Caenorhabditis elegans: one gene and its partner. The protein of the gene in region 2 interacts with the protein of the main gene of each other region in a pairwise test. Each region holds a gene or a part of one and is shown on either strand. Other genes may lie near its edges. The genes, in order: nas-6 and gipc-2.

The links.
Region 1: the proteins of gipc-2 (region 2) and nas-6 interact in a two-hybrid assay, tested with the Caenorhabditis elegans proteins (one large-scale study listed by BioGRID).

Annotation. Positions count from the first base shown.
Region 1 is NC_003282.8:17,486,072-17,492,617, forward strand, and holds nas-6 (Zinc metalloproteinase nas-6), read right to left. Parts: upstream 4,709-6,546; 5' UTR 4,427-4,708; coding exon 4,285-4,426; intron 3,501-4,284; exon of another isoform or gene 3,480-3,500; intron 3,097-3,479; coding exon 3,044-3,096; intron 3,000-3,043; coding exon 2,912-2,999; exon of another isoform or gene 2,908-2,911; intron 2,455-2,907; coding exon 2,337-2,454; intron 2,289-2,336; coding exon 2,158-2,288; intron 2,094-2,157; coding exon 2,008-2,093; intron 1,481-2,007; coding exon 1,325-1,480; intron 1,274-1,324; coding exon 1,153-1,273; intron 1,051-1,152; coding exon 911-1,050; 3' UTR 771-910; downstream 1-770. UniProt on the Caenorhabditis elegans protein: Metalloprotease.
Region 2 is NC_003282.8:10,025,674-10,029,319, forward strand, and holds gipc-2 (PDZ domain-containing protein), read right to left. Parts: upstream 1,994-3,646; 5' UTR 1,942-1,993; coding exon 1,907-1,941; intron 1,853-1,906; coding exon 1,555-1,852; intron 1,511-1,554; coding exon 770-1,510; 3' UTR 740-769; downstream 1-739. Other genes in the region: msd-2 (MSP domain-containing protein), read left to right, coding at 3,410-3,646.

The DNA of each region.
Region 1 (6,546 bases), 7.5 Mb from region 2:
TGAACACTAATATTTTTTGTTGAAATGTAAATCTTAAAAAAAAAGAAATCTAGAAGTCTGAACAGCATAGAAAACAAAATGAAAAAGGTAAAATATTCATAGAATATGTCGTGTCTTGACACGAAACATTGAAAGCAATATGATAAATGAGAGCATGAAAATCGAGAGAGAGAAGAAGGAAGAAAATTGAAGAAAAAGATATCATCAAACAAAATTTAGTACCGGAATTCATAATTTCAAATTTGTGTGAGCTTGATGGGTAAGACGCAATTGAGCATAAATTTCGTTTTAATTTTTTCGTCGTCTTTTATAACTATCTTGGGAATTTGATAATCATGAAAATATAAACGTGATGTTTGTTTTTCTCCGTTTTTCAAATTATTAAGACAAATAAATAATGTTGGAAATAGAGGTGTCGTTGGGTCGAAAAGGGTCGACCCGGAACCCACTTCATGGGTCGCGAGTCGACCCGCGACCCATTGCATAGTTTGAAAACATCATCACAATATTGTGATGATGTTTTCAAACTTTCAAATTGTACAATTATATTATTACAAAAAATAAGAGAATACAGTTTGAAACCCGTCCGATTCTAAATTCTAATTGTTCAAGATTTCGTAACTTTGGATTTTTTATCTCTCAGGTCGTTACTTATATCATTCCGATATCACATCATGTTTGATGCTAACTTTGAAAAATAGTTAGTTTTCCAACGAATAATTTTATTTTTCGATTTTATATTTTATGTGTAAACTTGCAATATTAATGACTTGGCAAAAACGTAATTTATTTAATTGTAAGTATAAATTATATAAATATTTTCAAAAAATGAAAAAATTGGCTTTCAGAATTACATTATACACACGTCATGGAACAATAAGCAACAAAATAAATAACACCAGATAGAAGATCATCCCGATTTTTTGAGTTTTCGATCACCAGGACAATGTTTACACGTAAATGGACAGTACGATTTCATAACAAAGAAAAATGAAGCACGGGTACAGTATTGTGCAAAGTGCGGGCAATCCGCAAAATGATCGACACATTCTGAAAATAAAGTTTGTTGGGAGTTTTTTTTTAATGTTACAGTTTGAAAACTTTCTGTAAACATTTTTCAATGCGATCACAGAAATGAAACAAAACACTAACTTTCTCCAGAATCGACCGAATTTTTATCCACAACTTGCGGAATCAGTTGATGAGGTTCCTCGGTAGTTGCAGGCTTTACTTTCTCTTTCTTCTTAGTTTTACACGAATACAGTTTGTTGATCTAAACTTTTTATGTTAAAATTTATTTTGAAAAATATCCAAAATTATTTACTTTCACAATATCCAGAGGTGACAAGTCCATAGCGGTCCCAATAACCTGTGTGAATCCATTTTCTACAGTTTCTATTGTGTTTCGTCCGTTTCTTGAAAACGCAGTGCTGTCATAGTGCATTATTGATTTGTAATCGTAGTTTTCTCCTTGAAGATCCTAGAAATTACTATTTAACTTTCCCACAAACGCAGCTTCTTCGATTGTTCATTTTATTCTTTTTCGAGAGTATTTATATTTTTCTGAAAGTCTATACATTTACTGAAACTACTGCAATACAGTGAAACCAAGCCCGGTTGGTAGCAATGTTTATTGTGCCCATATTTACATTAAATTACAAGTGTTTAAATCAATTGAAAACAGTTTTAAAACAAGTTGATTGAGCTGACTTGGAATTCTGAAATTATTTGCCTACCGTTCGCTTTTTAAAATTCAAAACACTTGATGGCCCATAGAAATTGCGGATGCGAAGTTTTTCATAGAAACAACAGTTCAAAATTTTGAATTTAAGTCTATTGTTATTCTTGACTGGAATACATTTATATCACACTCCGTTTTTATTTTATGAAAAATACGGATAAATCGAATAAATTTTTGTATTTCAAACCAGGGGTATGCGGCAAATGCCGTCAAAAATTTTTGAGTTACACGAGTTCCGATGATTTTTTGTGATTTATAATGCTCACTTGTAACACTGCCGAAATTTTATCGAATTGAGACTTCATTCCAGGCAGAATATTATCCCAGTTGATCTTAATGTGATCATCGCGATCTAAAAAGTAAGTATTATTCAGTTTAAGATCTTAAGTAAACAAAGTTTTTTTACACGAACTGACCAGCTCTCGAGTGTTCGTGCCAAAATCCGACGGAATGCATCAGTTCGTGTACAATTATTTCATGAAAAAAGCAGCCACGTCCCAAAGAAATTTCCTGTTTTCCTCCAGTTCGTCCAACTTGAGAGTAGCACCTGAAAAATTAAAATTCAGTAAGGGTTGTATAAGATATATATTCTTACCCATATCCTTTTACAATGTTTAAGTAGTCTGTTTGACCTTCTCGTTTTTCAAATCTAATGCATGTTGTTCGTCGGTAACTGTCAAACGCTTTTTCCAAAATTTTTATTTCATTCGGTGCTGGAAAAACATGGGGTTCAAAATTTCGCTTATATTGCAGGTACTGCTGCGCGCCCACAGACCAAAAAATCTAGTGTCTCCAGGAACTTGACGAAGTTAGTCTTTACATGATTTTACTGATTGTTTTAGATTTTAAAGTTTCCTATTGAATAATTAATTTGAACAGCGAAAACTCAACCACCGATCTTTCTCTGACCGCGTCGCTTGTGCCACTCGTCACGAGTGTTTGGTGTGTAACTATTTTATGTGACCTCTGAAAACCAAGGAAACACGTGATTTTGATGTTCTGACAAAACTATGAATGTTTAGTGTAATTTTTGTTAGAGGTGATCAAACTGCCATCACCACGTATCTCCGCATTTTCAAAAGGTTTTTCTGGAATGGAGCACGCTGCCTTCACATGCCCTGTGGATGTTTCCTACTAAAAAGCTGCTTTTTTAGACAACTACTCACTCACAGAATGCCGTATCCATTTCGTATGGGATCACACCGCCCTCCCACGTTAACTGCTTGTTTTTTAATGCATTGAAAAGCACTGGACCTTCCTGCAAGATAATTATATCACTGAGCTCTCATTCCATGTACTTACTGGGAGCTTGAGAAGGTTAGGATCGACTCCATCAATATCCCCTTGAAACTTCCCTGAAATTATTTAGCATTAATTAAACAGCATGATTTTTTTATAATTTATTAATTTATACCTTACTACATATATCATACCTTTGGAGGTTTTGTAAAACTTATGCTTTGAATGCCAAGTATTGCGCGTGACGTTTAAATCATTTGTTGTTAATAACTTCAGAATTCAGAAAAAATAAATTACTCCTTGAAGTTCGCTTTGAGAGTTTAACCATTGGTTTGATGCATTATTCATAAAATAATGATTAACAAAAGAAATGAGAAAGAATGTTTTGTTTGTCAACAAATTTTGATTTTAAAAACCAAGAACAATCAATTCTTGTACCCCCTATATTTTAAAAGCATAAGAAATCTATGTTTTTTTAGAGTTGAATTGTTTTGAGATCCAGAATCACCGTTTCAAAAAAACGTCTGATATCAAAATTTCCTAAATTTGCCATGAAACTGAAACTTAACCAATCGAAAATTCGAAAATGTTCACAAAAAGTTTCTAGGTAAAAAGTTACCAAATTATATTCAATTTTGTTTTAATGACAAATCTTTTGATTTTGAATTTTTTTAAAAGAAAACTTCATATTTTTGGTTTTGCTCATTTTTCTCATTTTTAGACGTCCTGATATTATTTCATTGAAAAATATTATAAAAAATGAAAATGTGTAAACTAAGGATTTAGGACGAAATCTGAAGTTTTCGCAAAACAGGATAACCACAGTGTTTACAAAAACTGTATCAAAACCGTCTTTTTTCCTAATTCCGGGATCGTAAAATATCTCATTATGTGGAGAAAAGTCCGGGGAGAAAAGTCAGACAAAAGCGGGTGAGAAGTTATGAAGTTCCTTTTCCAATATAAACCATACACAAATCAAAAATGTTTAATTTATATATTGTATATGCGATTCACATTTTTAACAGCATCGGATGTCGTAAAATGCGGAAATAAGTTATAAAAAACGCAAGATTAAGCAAGCTCGCTCCAGTATAAAGGCTGGAAGACGCCGTGTTACAATTATTAAAATTGTCTCCAAAAATACAATGAAAGCCTACACTATTTTCTTTACGATCGTTCAATAGAACTTAATCACACGTGGGAGCTGCAAACAAGATTCAACTCAATGCAATAATAAAGAAACCACCCGAGAATGGTTTTGAATAATTTATGCAACATCAATAGCAAATTATTGTTAAATGTACCTGAATTTTGCCATTCATGATGTGTCACCCTGTGATCTTCAGGAATGTATCCGGCAAAGCTTCGAAACACATCTGCCGATGGTTGAGATCTGACAACAGTTGAAACTAAGCAGTAGGTTAAAAGCAAAACGTGGTCAAGCATAATTGTGGGGGTAATGTCGTCTGGGACGTGTTAAAGACAGAGACAGGCAAGTGAGAGCTTGCGATGTTCTTTCAAGAGCCTTCAATTCCTGGTGAAAGAGGAAAAGAAGAGACGAAGTAGAGAGCAGGGAAGGGCAACCGGAATGACCGGATGCTCACAGAGATGTTAGTGAGTCAGTGTTGGAGCACCTACAGAGCACAGAGAATCAAACGACACGTGTCAAATGTGTATACACTAAGGGGCAAGCGAGGGTACTGTCCGCCTTGCGCGCGGAGCACCAGCTCTTTTTGTTTCCGTTTTTCCTCCGCGTCCGAGAAGAGACTTCTAGGCACACACACACACACACACAAAACGAATATGACAGGATCGGCGTAGATAGAGAGAAGAACTCTGAGAGTGTGTATGTATGTGAATGAATGAACATAACATTTCTCACACGATCTCTCTTCAGAAAGAAGGAGGCCGAGAAAAAGAGCAAATCGTTTCTCGATCGCCACCTCCGCCATGTTCTTTTTGTGGGCGCCGATTCTAATGATCACAGCGCAAGAGAACATGGAACGCGCATCAATATTTGAGTTTCGAAATAGAAATAAAAATTATTTGCAATTGAAACAGTCTGTGGTTAACATATCGGATTAATTTTAGGTTGAAGAGACATGTCATGTTTATCAGAAAGATCAACACATATTCTATAAAGATTCTATGAATTCTATGAATTCTATGAATTCTATTCTATGAACACCGTAATTTATCTATTAGTATAGCCTTCCTGTTAGACTTGCACTCACTATTAGTGTTGCGCTCCCTAATAATATTGCATTTACTTTTTTTCTGATACAAAAACACTAATTTCGTTACTTCAACTTTGCTGTTTTGCGTATTTTGCAATAAGTACACACGAAATTCAAAAATGTTGAAATTTTTTGAAATTTTTTGTTAAAATCAATGACAATTTTGATAAAAAATGACTAAAATTTGTTACTCTTGTAAACGAAAACTAGTCGTTTTGCAAAAAAGCGTCTGAAAATTATTATTGCACTTCCTTGTAATGCAACCGCGATGGCCTTCAAAAACAGTATTGCATCTATACTAATATTAAAAATACGGTATACTATTCTTGGAAAAATAGGATCCAAATTGAGTCCCATAACCCAAGCCAGTTGCCAAAACTTCGAAAATTTGAAAACTCTGTTTTTTGACGGAGCTCACAAGCTCAGCTCCAAGTTGTGCTCAACTTGGGGATGTGTCAAATGTATGCAAAATGATATGTTGAATTATTTTCATAAAATCGTGTATATATTAAATTCTAAAAGCCATGAGTTTTCCAATTTTTTTTTCAATAAAAATTTCCCGTGCAACTATACTTTCTACTTTTTGGACCGATATAAAGACAAAATGTTGTAACTTCTGCAAACTTCTGCAATTTTTTGCCAACTCTACTTCATTTTGACTGATGTTATTTCTAGTCCACTAGGCCCGCGTAGTGGACAACAATATTTTGATTATATTTCATTCGATAAATTTCCTACGAAAACTCGATTGAATAAATGATTTCATGGCTGTTTCTTAAATATTTTGCATATACTTTATTGGAATATTCTTGTGATAGTCTCCTGTGTTTTAATATTCAACAACTTTATTTTCTCATACACTCATATCACATTTTAAGAAAAAAGCTATTGAAAGAAAAACAAGAAATGGTAAATAGGAACATGGTTTCTTAACGGAAAAAATGAAATTGCAATATCTGAACCTTATTCATTCGCAAATATAATTCACTGGACTTTATAAAAAGACCATCGAACAAAGAAACTAACATACCTAGTTTTCAAACATCACCAACAGAACTGTTTCTTCTAAAAAAACGTGAAGCCAGTGAGTAAAATAAACTGTGGAGCCAGAGAGTTTATTTTACTCTCTGGCTTCACCATATATTTTACTCTCTGGCTTCACCGTATATTTTACTCTCTGGCTTCACCATATATTTTACTCTCTGGCTTCACAGTTTATTTTACTCTCTGGCTTCACCGTATTTTTTACTCTCTGGCTTCACAGTTTATTTTACTATCTGGCTTCACCATATATTTTACTCTCTGGCTTCACCGTATTTTTTACTCTCT
Region 2 (3,646 bases):
CAAATTTTGATTTTTCAGCTTTTGAAGGGATATTGGGTTGGGAGTTGGTGATGAATAATGTCAAGGTACTGTAGTAGTACTGTAGGGGTACTGTAGGGTTACTGTAGGGTTACTATAGGGTTACTGTAGTTTAGGGAATTTTGATTTTTCAGCTTTTGAAGGGATATTGCGTTGGGAGTTGGTGATGGATAATGTCAAGGTACTGTAGTAGTACTGTAGTAGTACTGTAGGGTTACTGTACTTTGTTTAAGGTTGTGGTGTGATGGTTTTCAAAATTTAATCTTTCAGCATATTCGAAAAAACTTAAACACATGCAGCAGGGAAACAAATTCTGCTTACTTTTTTTTATAGAAAAACCTAATGAATTCAGGGATGTGTCAAACATTTCAAATTTCGCCAGTCGTTGGCCGCGCCGGAGGCGCGGTCAGCGGCTGGTCAATTGTATAAAAGGAGTACTGTAGCGTTTCATCAAAATAAAATCATTGGAAACCTCTAGAATGCCGATTCTTGTTGGAGAGAATACAATTGCAAGTTGAAATCTAGCACCTACGGCGCGGCCCTCGACTTTTTTGAGAAAGCACATTAGATGTACGGTGTCTATCGCGGACCTCGATCGATGTCTGCTGCGTATTTAGCATAAGGTTTCCCAAAATGATCAGAGATCAAACTACATAGTGACGGAACGACACGCGCTTTATATATAGTAAATTGATTTAGAAACAATTAAATTCAGCTAGGACAAGAAAAATAATTTATTTGACAATACAAGTTAGTCAAAGAGTTTCATAGCCGATGGTCTTGAAATAGCATTCTTCATGACTGGCATTGGCTTTTTCTCACGTTGTTCGCGTTTCAAATCACCAATAATTCCCCACATGTCGAATACCAATCCATCCGGGAACTCGAACATTGAGAGCTCCGACTGTTTGATGGCTTCACTGAGTTGCCAAAGTGTCTCGCAGTTTGAGGCAGTTTCCCATATTCTCATGGCCAATTGATCATCTTGAACTCCCAAATATTGGTCGAACAGTTCGTTGAGTTTCCCGCACATCTCAGCCTGGATCATCTGATCTTGAATATCTTCAACAGCAAATCCACCTTCCGATTTGAAACGAATGGTTCCTTTTGCTAAATCTCCGCCAGTTTTCCTAGTCATCTTCATAGTTCCTGGATCCGCACTCTTTGGAGCAATCAATCGAATGATACATTCCTCGCCGCGACGAATACTTTTCAACATACGAGCAACTTGGTAATGTCTTTTACCGAGCACAGACTCTCCATTAATCGCCTCAATGAGTTGACCAACTTGTGTTGCTGGACGCATACGATCGAACACCGAACCTGGGCTTATGACCTTGATAAATGCATTTCCGAGTCCGTTGTCAGTGACTGTCACTCCAAAGACGTTGGCGTCTTTGACCATTCGGAGCTCAGTTGCTTGTCCGCGAACGTGTGCAAAGAGCATATCCTTGAAGTTGAGTGTTCCACTGAACATGTTCTTCATGTCTGGCTGAAAATATTTCGAATTAGAGGAATTAAAGTATCAAAGCTTGCCTTGAAATCATTAACCGTCAGGAAAATGATATCGTCTTTTGAGATTGCAAAGAAATCAGCAATTGATTGGTACAATTCCTCCATATCGTTCCATTTGTCAATGATTGCAACTGGAGATCCATGAGCCAACTGGCAGGGAAATTTGAGCTCTTTTGCTGCAACCATCAATGGGTTCACCACTGGCATGATTGAAGATGATGGTTCTTCGACAATTGAAGCTAAAACGGCAGGCTGAATTGGATGAGCTTCTCCATAGTTGGAGCGACGATTGAAGGCTCCACGAGATCTTGATCGGCTTCTGAAATATTCATGGTAACCTGAGATCTGAGACTCGGGCTCATGAAATGCATACCTAGAACGGCGGCATGGGGCTCCTTGTCCTTGCATTGCGAAGAGTTAGTTGTAATTAGTTGTTGTAAGTCGAGTAAATCGATGAATGAAGGATTTACCAGAAAATTGATTATTTATAGACATTGATGTGGGCGGAGCTTGGATGCCAACCAAAGTGGGGTTCCACGCTGAGCAAGTTCATTAAAAAATATAACTTTAGAATATTTTTTCGTTTCTATTTATTCATGTATATGCTTTCTTTTTTTACCTGTTTTTAAACTCAAACACGTGTAACAAGTAAAATTGTAATTCGGAAAAAATGTATAGATTTTTGCCTCAAAATCCAGGGTTCTTTGATCTTTGACTTTGCATGATTTTCTTGATACTTACCGTGATTTTGATACTTCTTATTAAAAAAAATTTTTTTTTTGGCAAAGTATAGGCTTGATGAAACGTTTCACTCGTGTCGGGACCCGGGGACGTGTATAATCGTAAATCTCAGAAGTCTGTGGCGAAAATATTAGACTCCTGCTGTTCATAAGCTCAAAGAGGGTGATGTACTCATCGGAGGAGCCGAACAAAGTGAAGGATGTAAAATTTAGAACTTCTAGTTAGCTATATGATCCTTTACTTCATTTGAGTAATGAACTGAAAACATACGTTCCAATAAGTGAGAAGCCATCGTTCAAAACTCGCAAAACATTAGAAGCATTGTTAGGAGTTTCATGCATGTACAATAAACAATCGTAACTGTAATAAATAAATTTTAAATTATCTGACAAAAAAATATGTTGAGAAGAAAAAACAAAATGTTCTTGAGGCCCACGTGCCTACCTGGCTGCCTACCGCCCATTTCTCCGCATTTTGATTTAAAATTGATTTTTTAAATCACTGATTTATTATTTACAATCATGTGCAAAGTTTTGCTCCATAAATACATCTGGTCTCCACACGACACATTTCTGTTACATACAAAAATGTTTTGTTAGGCGAAATATATGAAAATAAGTTATTCGAAAATTCAAAATTAGTCGTGCCGAAGGTGGACATTCTGTTTTTGGCAAAAATCGCGTATCTCAAAGTTATTCTTTAGTGTCTATTAGTCCACAACTCAAGTAATTCCGAACCTTTGAAATTGACATTCCAACTAAACACGTCATTGTTAGTTGACGCCAGTTAGCGGTGAATTTTTCATGTTATAGAAAAATATATTTAATGACTTATTTATTTTTATCCTTACATACATCGGAAAAAAAAACTTTTTTAAATTTACAAAAATATTTTTTTTTCTATATTTTTATTTTTTCCTTAACCTCTTCCACGTCTTCTCGAGAGCGTAAATAACTTTTAAAAAACTATATTTTCAAAAGGGAGCAGACAGTTGATATTAACAAACCTTTTTAAATTTACAAAAATATTTAAAATCAAAAGTTCACGAAAGGTCACTGGTTCATCTTGATAACGACTGCTATAAATAAGGGTAATATGTTCAGTTTATACAACTTTAACATAAAGTTTCAAAAAGATGTCTCTGACGGCCGATCCACCAGCGTGCACTGTTCCAGCTGCTGGAGGTGCTTCCACCCACAAACTTGTTAATGCTGGAGCTGAGAAGATGATCTTCAAGATCAAGTCTTCAAACAACAACGAATACCGCATCACTCCGGTATTCGGATTCGTTGATCCATCTGGTTCAAAGGACATCACAATCACTCGTACTGCTGGAGCACCAAAAGAAGACAAGCTTGTTGTTCACTTTGCC